3 linked regions of the Styela clava genome follow. Each later gene encodes a partner of the first gene's protein in a complex. Links are inferred from orthologs where the notes say so. Each region holds a gene or a part of one and is shown on either strand. Other genes may lie near its edges.

The links.
Region 2: U4/U6 small nuclear ribonucleoprotein Prp3-like (region 1) and ubiquitin carboxyl-terminal hydrolase 39-like share a complex: the UniProt entries of both Homo sapiens proteins name them as parts of the U4/U6-U5 tri-snRNP complex. The link is inferred for Styela clava from reciprocal best matches to the Homo sapiens genes PRPF3 and USP39.
Region 3: U4/U6 small nuclear ribonucleoprotein Prp3-like (region 1) and U6 snRNA-associated Sm-like protein LSm4 share a complex: the UniProt entries of both Homo sapiens proteins name them as parts of the precatalytic spliceosome. The link is inferred for Styela clava from reciprocal best matches to the Homo sapiens genes PRPF3 and LSM4.

The regions. Positions count from the first base shown.
Region 1 is NC_135262.1:3,874,604-3,878,969, reverse strand, and holds the start of U4/U6 small nuclear ribonucleoprotein Prp3-like, read right to left. Parts: upstream 3,073-4,366; 5' UTR 2,726-3,072; coding exon 2,575-2,725; intron 1,761-2,574; coding exon 1,657-1,760; intron 1,280-1,656; coding exon 1,160-1,279; intron 1-1,159. UniProt on the Homo sapiens protein: Plays a role in pre-mRNA splicing as component of the U4/U6-U5 tri-snRNP complex that is involved in spliceosome assembly, and as component of the precatalytic spliceosome (spliceosome B complex).
Region 2 is NC_135257.1:18,732,493-18,736,858, forward strand, and holds ubiquitin carboxyl-terminal hydrolase 39-like, read right to left. Parts: upstream 3,167-4,366; 5' UTR 3,059-3,166; coding exon 1,436-3,058; 3' UTR 318-1,435; downstream 1-317. Other genes in the region: coiled-coil domain-containing protein 12-like, read right to left, coding at 1-245.
Region 3 is NC_135262.1:751,469-755,834, forward strand, and holds U6 snRNA-associated Sm-like protein LSm4, read right to left. Parts: upstream 2,891-4,366; 5' UTR 2,835-2,890; coding exon 2,712-2,834; intron 1,778-2,711; coding exon 1,502-1,777; 3' UTR 511-1,501; downstream 1-510. UniProt on the Homo sapiens protein: Plays a role in pre-mRNA splicing as component of the U4/U6-U5 tri-snRNP complex that is involved in spliceosome assembly, and as component of the precatalytic spliceosome (spliceosome B complex).

The sequences.
Region 1 (4,366 bases):
AGTAACGCAAAAAAATTATACACTGATAGTTAGGCATACCTAGCACAGGTATGTAGAAAATGAAAACAGTATTCAAATATATCTAAAGATAGTTATATTCTATATACAGTATTTTACGGAAGGCAGCGTTTCAAATACTTTTTTCTGAAAATTGATTGTGCGGCTTCCGAGCCAACGCGACGCGCCTAATGTAATAGACCAGGTAATGTGCCTGCGCTCAAAACCAGTACGGTTCCGCCTTATGTATGAATAAAAACCCAATCTGAGCAATTTATTGACGGTGCGCATCATGACCTAGTGTGCTGCGTAAAATACGTTAGTTAATTCGTGATTTTAGGGACTTTAAGTGTTTTATATATTTATCCAATGACTTTGAATTTGGAATAGCATATGAGTAATTCAGAAAAACATCAATTTGAGTGGTCTTCTCTTCCATATTACCGATATAGACTCCATATATTAAATGGAGGCTTTTCTGGTCACACTGTGGAACTATGATATTTTTGATATAAAATGTATTTAAAATAACTAAATATGAGACGATAAGGTCGAGTAGTTAAATGCAATAGATGAATATCAGAAGTTAAGCATATTAAGCCCAAGGCCCACGACATGACACACAAATATATTAGACATGCTGATTAGTAAAATTAGTTATTGTCCAGGTATAAGCAGCTACTTATCTGGAGCTTTAAGTGAGGAAATAATTAGTTACATATACCGTAGTTTTATTCCGCTGAAGATTATTTGGCGATACGCATATTCTTTGAATAGTGGCAACACTGCGGTTTAGTTAGAACTGTATAAAAAGCGACTAGCCCTATTCTTGTGAAAGCTAGTTGATACGTCTCAAGCTGAATGAATTTGGCTGGCGGTCGTATCCGAACAGTGGATTGCCTAACATTGATTAAATGAGCGCTGCATTCAGGGTGTTGATGAGTCATATCATTGTTAGAGTGTATGTCCTAAAAACTCAACCTATGCTACATAATAACGAATTAAATTGAAGATTGTTGCATTTTTATAGCCTTATCAACTCTTACTGGTAAAATTGATGGGGTTCAATGGAAGCTTGCAGAATAACATAGGATTTCGGCAGGTTCGTATAGGTTAATTGAAAGATAGTAAGTGAATGGAAACGACAAAATCTCGTCTTCACCTGTTGAGTGGTGAGCATTCCAGGACTCTCAGCGATGGGTTCAGCAGGAAGAGCAACAGGAATATCAGGTTCAACAAAACGACGAACTTTCTTGGTCCCTGCTGTTTCAACTTCATCCTCCTAAAACAATATGATTAGAAAGAATAAGAATTGCTTTGTTGACAGGTAAGTTACTTGACGACAAGTGTGAAATTATTTCAAAATGGGGCAATTGCAATATAAATATTCGACTTGTTTGAGAGCCACAAAAAACTGTTCCCACACAAAAACCTACATGAAAATCAAATCTTAATCGCCAAGACAACGAATTTCTGGTAAACCAGATATTTTAAGTCTGCATTCAAATAATTCACTTCGCATTTTGAGATTTCAAATTCTAATCGTTTCCACCTAACCTGTATTTATTATATGCCAATCAATCTGGCAACATGTCTAGAACCTTGTTCAGAGCCTGCTCATAAAAAATGGTTCCGAAGAAAAAACAAAGAAAAACTGACCTTTCTTTTTCTGCTTTTCTTTTTCGTTTTAGAAAGTTCAACTGTTGTATACAACTCCTCAACAAACTTTTTTGCTGATTTATCCATCAGAGGTTGCAGATGTTCTGAATGAAATGTTGTGAATAAATAAGAGGTTCAATAAGAAGCTATATTTTAAAACTTGAAAAACGTGAAGTCTCAAAAACGCAATAACAAATGTCAGATATGTAACTCTAATATAAAATCCTAGCCATTCCTTACTGTCAATGAGAGATGCGCTTCATTGCATGACATTAGGTGATATGTTTCTTTTCAACACTTTTAATTTCAAATTATAGATTTACGAGATGATTCACATCAAATAGGTAAAATTTGTTCTCAATACCAACATAACTGCTCTGTCACTGGAGATATTAATAAGCAAAAATGATAGCACTGGATGCATCTCTATCCAATAATGATCTACCGGATAAATAAATAATTTCAATCTTCAATTTCACAATATTTGCTATTGAACCATAAGTATAACCATGAACCATGTTTATAGGTATACCATAAAGAGATGTCTGAATAAAATGATGTTTGAGAACGACAAAGAGTCCTTGTAGAAGTAAGATGAACACAACTAGGAGCCGAGTCGAAAAACCAATCGATAAGACACCAACATTCTTATGATAACGATCAGCATGAGTCGATTTCATATTTATTCCGCCAATGAAAATCTTAGAGTAATAGATATTCAGGTGGTTAAGCCCCGAGAACTCTAATAAATAAAAATTGATACACAAATAACAGAATAAAGACTGAAAGAGGAAATAGAAACAACAACTTCCAGAAATTGTTCAGGAGATGCAACAAAGATTTTTGCATTTCAAATGGAGGGCTTTAGAAATCCTGTTTACGATTTATCATTGTGGTAAAGCAACAATAAATACAAACCAATTATTCTTCCTTTGTCCATGTCCTTCTGTAGACATTGGATTGCTGCCACGACAACAGAATTGTCGGAGAAACCAAGTACTTTTTCAACAATTCCACTGATTTGAGGCTTCAATTCATCAGCTTCTTTTCTTGATAACGCCATTTTCATAGTTGATTTAGAACTGAAAAACAAAATCCTGGAACAGTGATAACTTTTGCTTTTAAAATGTAAACTACAGAACTAGCCTATCTAGATTCAGAAAATTGTTAAAGTTATCCTAGGCTACTGTCTGAAAATATGCTATGTATTTCAATTGGAGGTAGATTCGAAAGGGTGAATAACGTACACGATGTTACAGCCATTTTATTTGATCAAGGACAAAAGGATAGGATTTTACAAATTCTCTGAAACATGAGGTGATGGTAGAAACAGGCAATCTGTTTTGTAATAAAACCCTATCAAATATAAAGTTAAGTATTATTAATAAGTGGAATCTCAGTAAACATGAACCGCTAAAATTAATTCATGACACCAAAATGCCGAATAATCTAAAAATCTACAGCAATAGTCTAATAATAATGCTAACTTCACAGTGGTGAATTATTAAACCGCACTCGGTAAAAGTGCATAACAGATGCCAGATTTCTCCATGGAAATAAGAAATCTCAGAAATAATTTCTGTTCTAATATAAGTATAATATTAAAAGTATATTGTATATACTTATGACGATATAATTATTAGTAAATAGTGAACTTGAATTATGACAGATTCAATGCTAAAATATACATATGTCTCAGTTTGATGCACTGCAATCTGGCATGATGCATTTTGTATTAAAAAAAACGTCTCGCATACGTTTTACCGATGGTGGTCGGAGTCAAAGACAACTGAACATAAACCATTATATTACATTGAGGTGTATGTATACACTTCATAAAGGAATTTATTCCATGACATATGTCAATTGTACTATCTTAATTAATATGTAGAGCTAACTTTTCACTCACTCGAGTGCGTTGCATCGACCTATTCTGGCCTATCTATATGTTATTTAGCTGTGTAAATTGCTCACAGCAGTACTCATATTGAAGAGTAAACACAGGAGTTGAATTGTGTTAGTATAGAATAAATAGGGATTATAAAGCCGCCAGTGAGGATAGAACTCACGACCTCTGGTTTACAAGACCAGTGCTCTAAACACTGAGCTATGGCAGCCAACGTACAACGCGACAAAAATACGAGGCCGCATCCTGATCGAAAATCAAAGAAAAGCATTTTAAAAATACATCCCTGGCTGGATACTGGTGTAAGACGGGGAGTCATTATCTATCGTACCCTTACCCTTATTTTTCAAGAATTTCTCTCTTTTCCGTCGTTGATATCGAGCCAATGTATTTAGAACTGGAAGTTCATTGCTGTGGCTAATGGGTAACATTCAAAGTAAATTTAGAAATTGCTTTGCAGAAAACGAGAAGATAGATGGAAGCCACCAGTGAGGACCGAACTCACGACCCCTGGTCCACGAGACCAGTGCTCCAACCACTGAGGTATGGCGGCCGATACACCAATGTACAAAGCTACGGAATATTAAATAGTCTCAGGACTTCTGCCACAAATCGGTCTTGACAAAGCTGATAATCGCAATTATCATGGAATCATGTCCAATGATATCTGAATGTGCGTCATTATAGGGAATCGAACTCACACTCGCTGTACAGTAATTTTGCATTTTATCGTTTTGGCGACACGCATGCTATGGTTATTACAGCGATAATACGGCACGGTAATTGGTTAATTTAAGTTTAAAC
Region 2 (4,366 bases), on another chromosome or scaffold:
GCTTTATCAAGCTGCTCAGAAACCTCAGTTTCAACATGGACTGGTTTTACTTTGCCTTGCTCATTAGATACCAGATTTTCGTCGAGAGGAATATAGTTCCTTAATTTCAGTTCAGCGTTCGTCTCTTCTTTTGGATGCTTCGCATCGCTTGAAACTGCGTCTTTATCAGCAGCTCTTTTTCTCATTGCCATCAATTTTTCTCTCCTTTTACGAGCTTGCTCTTCTAATGAACCAACGTCAGCCATTTTGTAAGTCGTATCCTGTCACCGAAGCTGTATAGGGAAGATTTAAATAATACTTTAGTATGTAGTACTGGGTCTACAAAAAAATTCAATACAATTATTACCAAATCAAAATCTAACATCAAGTGACAGCTAGAAATTTCAAAAATAAGAGCAGTATATTGAATATCCAAAAAAGCAGATTTATGCAAATTTTTTGAAAGTTTTTAAAATGGAAAGCAAACAAATGGTAAATTTTGGATAGACAATCATGTAGCCCATTGAACAGATCGTGAGTAAACAGTACATGCCATGTATAATAAAGAGATGACTATTATATTAAACAAGATTTCTGATTCGATCAATCTATTTGCTAATCGCAATTTTGCCACGTATTCTACACACTTATATATCGAGGTTGCAAACTCTTATCATGGAGAGCGTGACTACAGGCTCAGAAAACAAAAGATAATTTATATCAACCAATTCTTGATTACTTGTGATAATTATAAAGGGTGTGGTATGAAGCAAGCCAATGAGAAAATTTGTATAAATATACATATCACTGTCACCAATACCTCAAATTGGATTTCATTACCTCATTCATTTATAAGTGTTACTTAAGTTGAGGGCGCTCCAGAATTGTGTGTACCAAATAGAGGTAACTAATTTAGTTCGCCTACTTTACATCAAGTTGTGTAAAGGGATGGAAGCCTATGGGCAGGGGGTATATTAAGCCTAACCCTAATCTGGTACACACACTACGGGAGTACCGAGTTGAGTATGCCATATGAAATTAGTGCTAAAGTAGCCATCATTAGAAAGTTGAATATTAAACAAAAGCATGAGCAAGATTGAACAGTTAGCTTCCAATAATAATATTTTACAAACAAAAAACAGGTCTGGTTTATTCCATCACCTATAAGCAACTGGTCAGTTAAAGTTCCATTCAAATGTGGGTTTAGTTTACACACTATTTTATCATAGCTTTCCAAGTTGCGGAGGGGCACACTAAGGATTAGTATTTAAATTGGCCAGTCAAAGACTGTAACACTCTTTTAAAACTAAAAATTTTTTTCATGCCAATTTTGCACATCATCAATTCCCCATATAGCAATTCGACATAGCAAAGATCTAATAATTCCGAAGACTAGTAGCCAAATTGGCTAATATGAAATGCATTTGCTAAATAATCAAGCAATAATGAATGTTATTTATATTTCCATTTTGACTCCATCCGATTTTGCTTTGGCTTGCATTTCATTAGAAAATGCATATTCTTTTCCACCTTTTCTTTGGGCCCATATTTGGATGTAAGCTTCAGAGAGAGTAATCATTTGTGGCAAAATGTCGCTCACATGAAGATCTTGCATCTCATACCATTGGTTAGATCCTTGGTGGAGAATATAAACACGATATGTGCCTTTCCCAATGTTCGGGTCGCCATCATGCACAATATTTGCAACCAGATCATAACATGTGTCTTTAATATCTGCATCAGCAGCGACAAATTCCGCGAGATCGATATTTTTGACGGGAAAATTAACAATTGTAGGATTTTTCTCTATGAAGAATAGATTTTTCGTGAATCGTTTGATGTAGAAAATTAAAAACGGAGGGAGACGTGTAAGCTCAAACTTTTTCATGGTGAAATCTCGTTTTCCTTTGTATTCTTTCTCAGTGAGGCCGTTAAATTTTGCAAGAAGGTTAAATAACGGAACTTGTGGGATAATATTTTGTTCCTGTTCGTCCTTGTAGAGAGGGGCAGCAAGTAGGTCTAATGTGAGATATAAAAACGGTGATTTTTGCATTGTTTCTTGGTATTCTGGCAGATCTAACAGTTTCACTTTTTCTTCTTCTGGTAGTTCAGGGTTAGGAACTTTTCTTGAATAAATTTTCATTTCTCCCTGGAAAGTTTCAGTGATGATGCTGGAACTCTTCTTCTTGGTTCCATTTAGGGCAACATGTAAAGAATTCAAAAACCAAGCAAGTAATTCAAGAGGATCACCTTGTACAGTGATTTGGAATCGTTTACGAGAGCAGAGCACAATGCTCTGCAGCATCTCGTGTGGTGACACATGGGCTTTGAAATTACGAGGATTCCATAATTTACGAATCAATTCTCCAAATCTTTGAGTTAAAAGAATCATGATGTCACCAGGTGGCCGTTTAATATGAGAGTAATTCTCTTCTCTCAAAAAATAATCCCTCAATGGAGGGATGTTTGACAACGCTTGTAAAACAACGTTACAATAATCATTCGCTTTGATGTTATTGAGCCCGACTATTCCTGGCAAGTACGTTGTGCTATCGTAAGCTCTACTAAGTTTGGAACTTGTGCTTAATTCAGCGATATGATTCTTTTTAAAAGTAGGGTTAAGAACATAAGTAATATCTTCAAGTGATGAATCTAAAATTTCATAGTTATCAGGGAGGCAGTAAAATTTCAGAGTCCTCAGATTCAAAAATACATGATGATTTATCTCAACACTGTGAGTGTAGGCATGAGATTTTTTGCCCCTTCCTTGAAAATATTTTCCGCAAACGAGACAAGCATAAACGTTCAAATGAGAGAGAGACACTGAGCACAATTTTTCGAAATCAAAATCTAAAACACTGCGTTTAATTGTATCTAAATACGGGCAGCTTCGACTTCTATCAATCTTTGGTTCGTCATCATACCTGTATTCTTCTTCAGACGAATATTCTTCAACCAAAGCTAATATTTTTTGTTCTGGAGCTTCTTGTTTAATTTCACTGTCTGAAATTTTTCGTTTTTTTGCGGGTTCAGAGTTCTCTTCCGAATCCACTTCGTTTTTAATACTTTTTATATCCATGATTAGACCTTCAAAATATACAGATTGTAGAAAAATACAACGCTCAGCGAATAATTTTCCCCACAAAATGCAGCATGAACGAAAATTGAACGTCGGTGTCACGTGTCAAAAAAACTACGCTTGGCTGATTCCGATAGGAAATAAGTTCAAATCTTACGAAAATGATATATTTTAAAAGAATTCAACAACACAACTTCATTATCAAATATTTATAATTCTAAACAACAAAACTTGATGCTAAAAAAACACTCAAATCTTTCGAACTTGAGCACGAAACCACATTAATATTAAAAGATGTTTTCTGGTTAACTCGGGAATTCCCCTTGTAGTAAACTTTTTAAAATGCACTCCTTATTTTCGAATATTTTTGGAAGGAAAAGATGCAAAGGCAAGGTTATTTTTCTAATATTTGTATCAAAAGATAGTAGTTCTAACTAAAATGAACATTGGAAGATTGATGTTGAAACGCAGCTACCCGCAGATAAAGTCGTTACGCAGTATTTTGATACCAGGACACGGTATTGGGATGTTGCAGTAGGATAGGATAGGATTTACATATTTATCCCGGGGGAGAGGAAAGCCGATAAGACGGCTTATCCATATGGCGAACCACGGCCTCTCGTCCGGTTACCATTCCAAGTCGGGTATGGGATTAGATTTACTGTATTGTTTGTTTTTGGAAGCATGGACTTGGTGGTGGAGGAAGCCGTAACCGACCAGCGGTTACGTGAACCACCCAACGACGGCGAGGAGTCCAGCAATCCTCTCGCACATAACCATCCCTGCATGGGATTCGAACCTGCGAACCCACGCAGAGTAGTTAGAGGTGCGGTGGCGAGCGTATTCCTAACGCTTAGCCCGTTGAGCCACACCGCCGCGCCGATTACTCAACAATAATTATCCTAGATATGTGTGAAAAATCAGCCACATAGAATTTCCGCAATTGGGTTGAATAGATATTTTCAATGAGTAATAAGAATTATATTTAAATGTAGAATGAATTAAATGCTCAGGAACATGAAATATGTCTAAATGTGATGCGAAAATTGTATTAAGAAATGCAATACCTACCTACCTTACGCAATACATATGTAATTTTATAGAACGCTTTTGATATGTCTGTATGTGTAAATAATACAAAATTGTTTTGAACTCATATCGTACTAAAGGGATATCGACTTTTTCTAATTCTGATTCCTATTTGTACTTTTACTAGGTTTAAATTGGAAATATGTGATTGGGACACCTTATTGGTTTGCTTCTCATTGGAATAATTACAGTAAATAGGAAAATCATATCCTAATCTAA
Region 3 (4,366 bases), about 3.1 Mb from region 1:
GTAGGTTTGCGAGAATGTAGCTTTTCAAGAAAGTACTTTTGTGAGAAGGTAGGTTTGCGAGAATGTAGTTTTGCATAAAGCCGTAAACGAACTTTTGTAAGAATCTAGTTTTGCGAGAACGGACTTTTGTGAGAATGTAGCTTTGCGAGAAAGTACTTTTGTGAGAATGTAGTTTTGGGGAAACGTACTTTTGTGAGAATGAAGTTTTGGGAAAACGTACTTTTGTGAGAATGTAGTTTTGTGAGAACTGAAAAGTATTCAAACTTTTGAGAACTATAACTACTCGAAAAGCCTTAAGAGTGTATTTACGAGACGAATAAACATACATGTATGTATGTTGAAGCGAAGTTACCTGGACTTCGAAAAAAAAAACACATTCCCTAACTACCAGCAAAAAAACAGCGCCACATATCTGGTTCGGATATTTATTTCCATATTCTACACTCGTTGTTATCTGAATGAGAAACTATGATTGAAATAAGAAAACCAACTTCCTGAAATATGAAAATATCCTGTTCCCACACAAATTTATTCAGTGTTCACATTGCAGCAGTTATTCTGTATTCCAAACTTGATTGATTAGTGAAATAACATTGGTACAAAAATACAAACACACAAAGCTGAAATTCAGGAATATTGCCAAAGCTTGAGGTTTAAAACACGAGACATTTTAGTTTAGGACGCCACCAACAAGGGCAAAGCCCGGGGAGAGAACATGTAAGGCAATTCAATTTCTCGAATATTGCAAGCATTGAGACCCACTAGCTGTTATGGTTTAACTTGGCAATTAAAATTTAAGAATCCCCTCCCCCCTTTGAAAATTCCTGGCTATCAAGTCCACGAACCTGAAGTGAATTACATAACTAAAAAGTACATACGGTAACTATTTTTATATCCACCCTAAACTTGTGACCAGACAAGAGACCGTAGTTCAAATTATCCATTAAAAGAATTCTCTCAAAAGTAAAGAAGACTCGCCTCTGAGCGAAGTCATGTGCAATCGCAGAAAGCGACCACTAAAAATATATAGAATCATGAAGCACTATGCGCACTCACCAAAAAGTAAAGTGGACTCATCTCTGAGTGAAGTTATGTGCAATCACTAAAAAAGTCAAAGCTACTGGAACAATATAGAATCATAATGTCGGGTGTCGCTGCTCGATAACCATTCCTGGTTCCCCGCGACTTCCCTTCCCCAGTAAAAATGTGTTTTCAGTTTTGTATTTTGTTAATTTCGTATGTTATTTTTTACTGAATGGGAAAAAATAAACTAGACTATGACTATAATGGTGCATTATGGGCACTCAATCAGAGGTAAATGAGACTCAACTTTGAATGGTTATTTAGCAAAAAAACTAATCATGAATCGAGCCACGAGCTAGTGGTATGTGAATAAATAATCAAGTCAACTTATCAGACAAGAATTTCTTTCAGTAACCACACAAGAATGACTTGTAGTAGTTTCTCCTCCAAACAGACACATCAAATTGATTCCCCTTTATCACTCTTGGGGTTTGGGTCTTTGTGGTTTTTTCCCTCCCTGGCCTCCACGTCCTCCCCCTTGTGACCTTCCACGACCTCCAAATCCACCTCTATTCGGGCCTCCTCCACGGCCCCTTGGACCTCGCCCTCTTCCGCGACCTTTAGAGAAATTTTCTTCTTTTACCATGTCGATAATTTCATCGGGAATTCGTAGATACTTGATTGTGCTGCCTCGTATGTAACACTCCGGCATTTTCCAAAAATGGTCGCCGTCTCTTGAAGTGCAGATGACTTCCTGAGACATGAAAAGATACATGAAAAATTAAAAATAGGGAGAGCTTTCATGTAACGCTCCGTCATCAATTTTCTGATCTGTTTTGTTCTGTTAATTTTAGGCAGGGGAATTACCAGGGGGGGGGCTTCGGTGTGTGGTAATTTGTGGGTTGAAAAGTCTATTTCACATCGGCCCTGGATTGAACATTTTACGAAACAGAAAAATCATTATCCGATGAAAAAGTTCATTTCAACTTAATCACGGCGCCTGTTTTAGAAGCTGGTGTGTTTATTCCCAATTTCAGAACCGCCCCCTTTTGAAAACCTGGCCCCTGATCTTAGGATAGGTTTGATGAGATTTGCCTGGAAGTTTAATACTTCATTTGCATCACCAAACATGTTGTTATTTAGTCAGATAACTTGAACACTGCATTGAAATGTAAAAAAAAAACAATCATTCATATGAACAAGCTCTTCGTATCATTTCAAACTTATAGCATTGTTCTAAGCTTTAGAATATACTCGCCACCACACCTCTGATTACCCTACATGGGTGTGCAGGTTCGAATCCCATTTGGGGATGGCTATGTGCAAGAGGATTTCTGGACTCCTTGCCCAATAGGGTGGTTTACGTAACCGCTGGTCAGTTACGGCTTCCTCCACCATCAAGTCCATGCTTCCGAAAACAAATAACTGACTAATCCCATACCCGACTTGGAATGGTAACCGGACGAGAGGCCGTACTTCGCTATACGACTAAGCCGTCTTAATGACTTTTCTCTCGCCAGGGACGAATATGTAAATCTTATTCTATCTCCCAGAGGATTCAACCTTCGAGGGGGAGGATCACCCAGTGTTGTGCCACGCCAAGCATCTCAACCCTGCTTCATAGAAATTTGATGAAATAACGATTCCAAATTTGAATGATCAAATCCATAACCAAGAGCAAAACCTACCCTCAGATTAATATTCATCCAATTATCACAATTAACCAGATGTCCGTTATACGTTTCTCCATTCTTCAATTCCACCAGCATGGGATGGTTCACAGCTGTCTTTAATAAAGATAAAGGTAACATTGCTAAAATTGCTTTGTCTAAGATTTACAATAACTGAAATAATAAGGAAAATTTGTTATATTTAGTACAGTTGTTTTGATACAAAAGCATATTTAGTATTCGGAATTACTTGATATAAACAATTAATGAAGGAAATTTTTATTTAAAACTTTATCATCAGCCGATAAATGAAAAGGTAGCATTGCTAAGGGCATATGTCTTACTAAGACTGAAATAAAAAAGAAAATTTGTATAGATAAGTAATTTATATATATTTAAAACAGTTATTCCGATACAAAAGCATATTTAGAAACACTTATGTTAAACAATTAATGAGAGAAATAATTAAGAATATTTTATCTATCTGTAATCAGTAGTTAGTTTTTTCACCATATTGTGAATAATTTTTACATACAGAACGAGGGGTGCTCCCGAAGTATGCGAACCAAGATGGCGGACATCGGAACGTAACATGGGTAACAGGTTAGGGTCAGGCGATAATTTTTTTCCAATTTTCCTTATTTTAGTCCTATTATCAGTTCGAAGAGCCTCCCGTAGTATTCATACCTAAAATTATGGCCTAACCCTAACCTAGTACACATATTACATTCCGATGTCCGCCATCTTGGTTCGCATACTTCGGGAGCCCCAAACGAGGTGAAAAAAAAAGCCTTTTTGGGTGAAAAGGGGAAACAATAAACCTGTGCTGGTTATCGAGCAGTGACACCTAGGAAAAGTCTAATATTAGGTCATACAAGAGTAAGAAGCCAAAATGATTAAAAACTAAAGCGAAGAGTGAATACTGTAATACTACGAATACTTCCTGAAATAATATTTTTGAATTTAAAATATCGAATACATTCTGAAATGAGTCTCTTCAAAAGAAGAAAATTGTAGATTCATAAAATCAAACTTGGTTAAGCGGAATAATTGGGATAAATACCGTTTTAATTGGTATTCTCCATTTTATTCTGTGAGAAGTTACTAATTTTTTGTCTGTCACAATATAATAAATGCTCAAAAAGACATTTTCAAAAGAAAATATTCAAAATTATTCCTGAATTCAAGAATTACGGCTTCCTCCACCATCAAGTCCATGCTTCTGAAAACAAATAACTAATCCCATACTCGACATGGAATGGTAACCGGACGAGAGGCCGTGGTTCGCCATATGGTTAAGACGTCCTATCAACTTTACTCTCTCTCGGAATAAATATGTAAATCCTATCCTATCCTAATTTACTAAATCGAATATAACCAATATCTGTTTTGAACGTCCCTGTGTGAAATTAATATTGATTGAAATCAAAAGTAGTTCCAAAGACATAATACAGTATTTAAAAAAATATGACACACTCGGAATTCTCAGCGGTTCCCAATCGGGGGCCACAGAGAAGTTGGAGGGAGGGCCACAATGCTTGGCACAAAACTGATTTAACTTTTCCCTTCACAAGAAAACCTCTCGTTCTTCCTAGTTTTATAGCCTGATAAGGTTATTTCACAGGGTGTTTTCGTTGCTTTTTTGTGCATGATGTTGTTTGAACATACGGTAA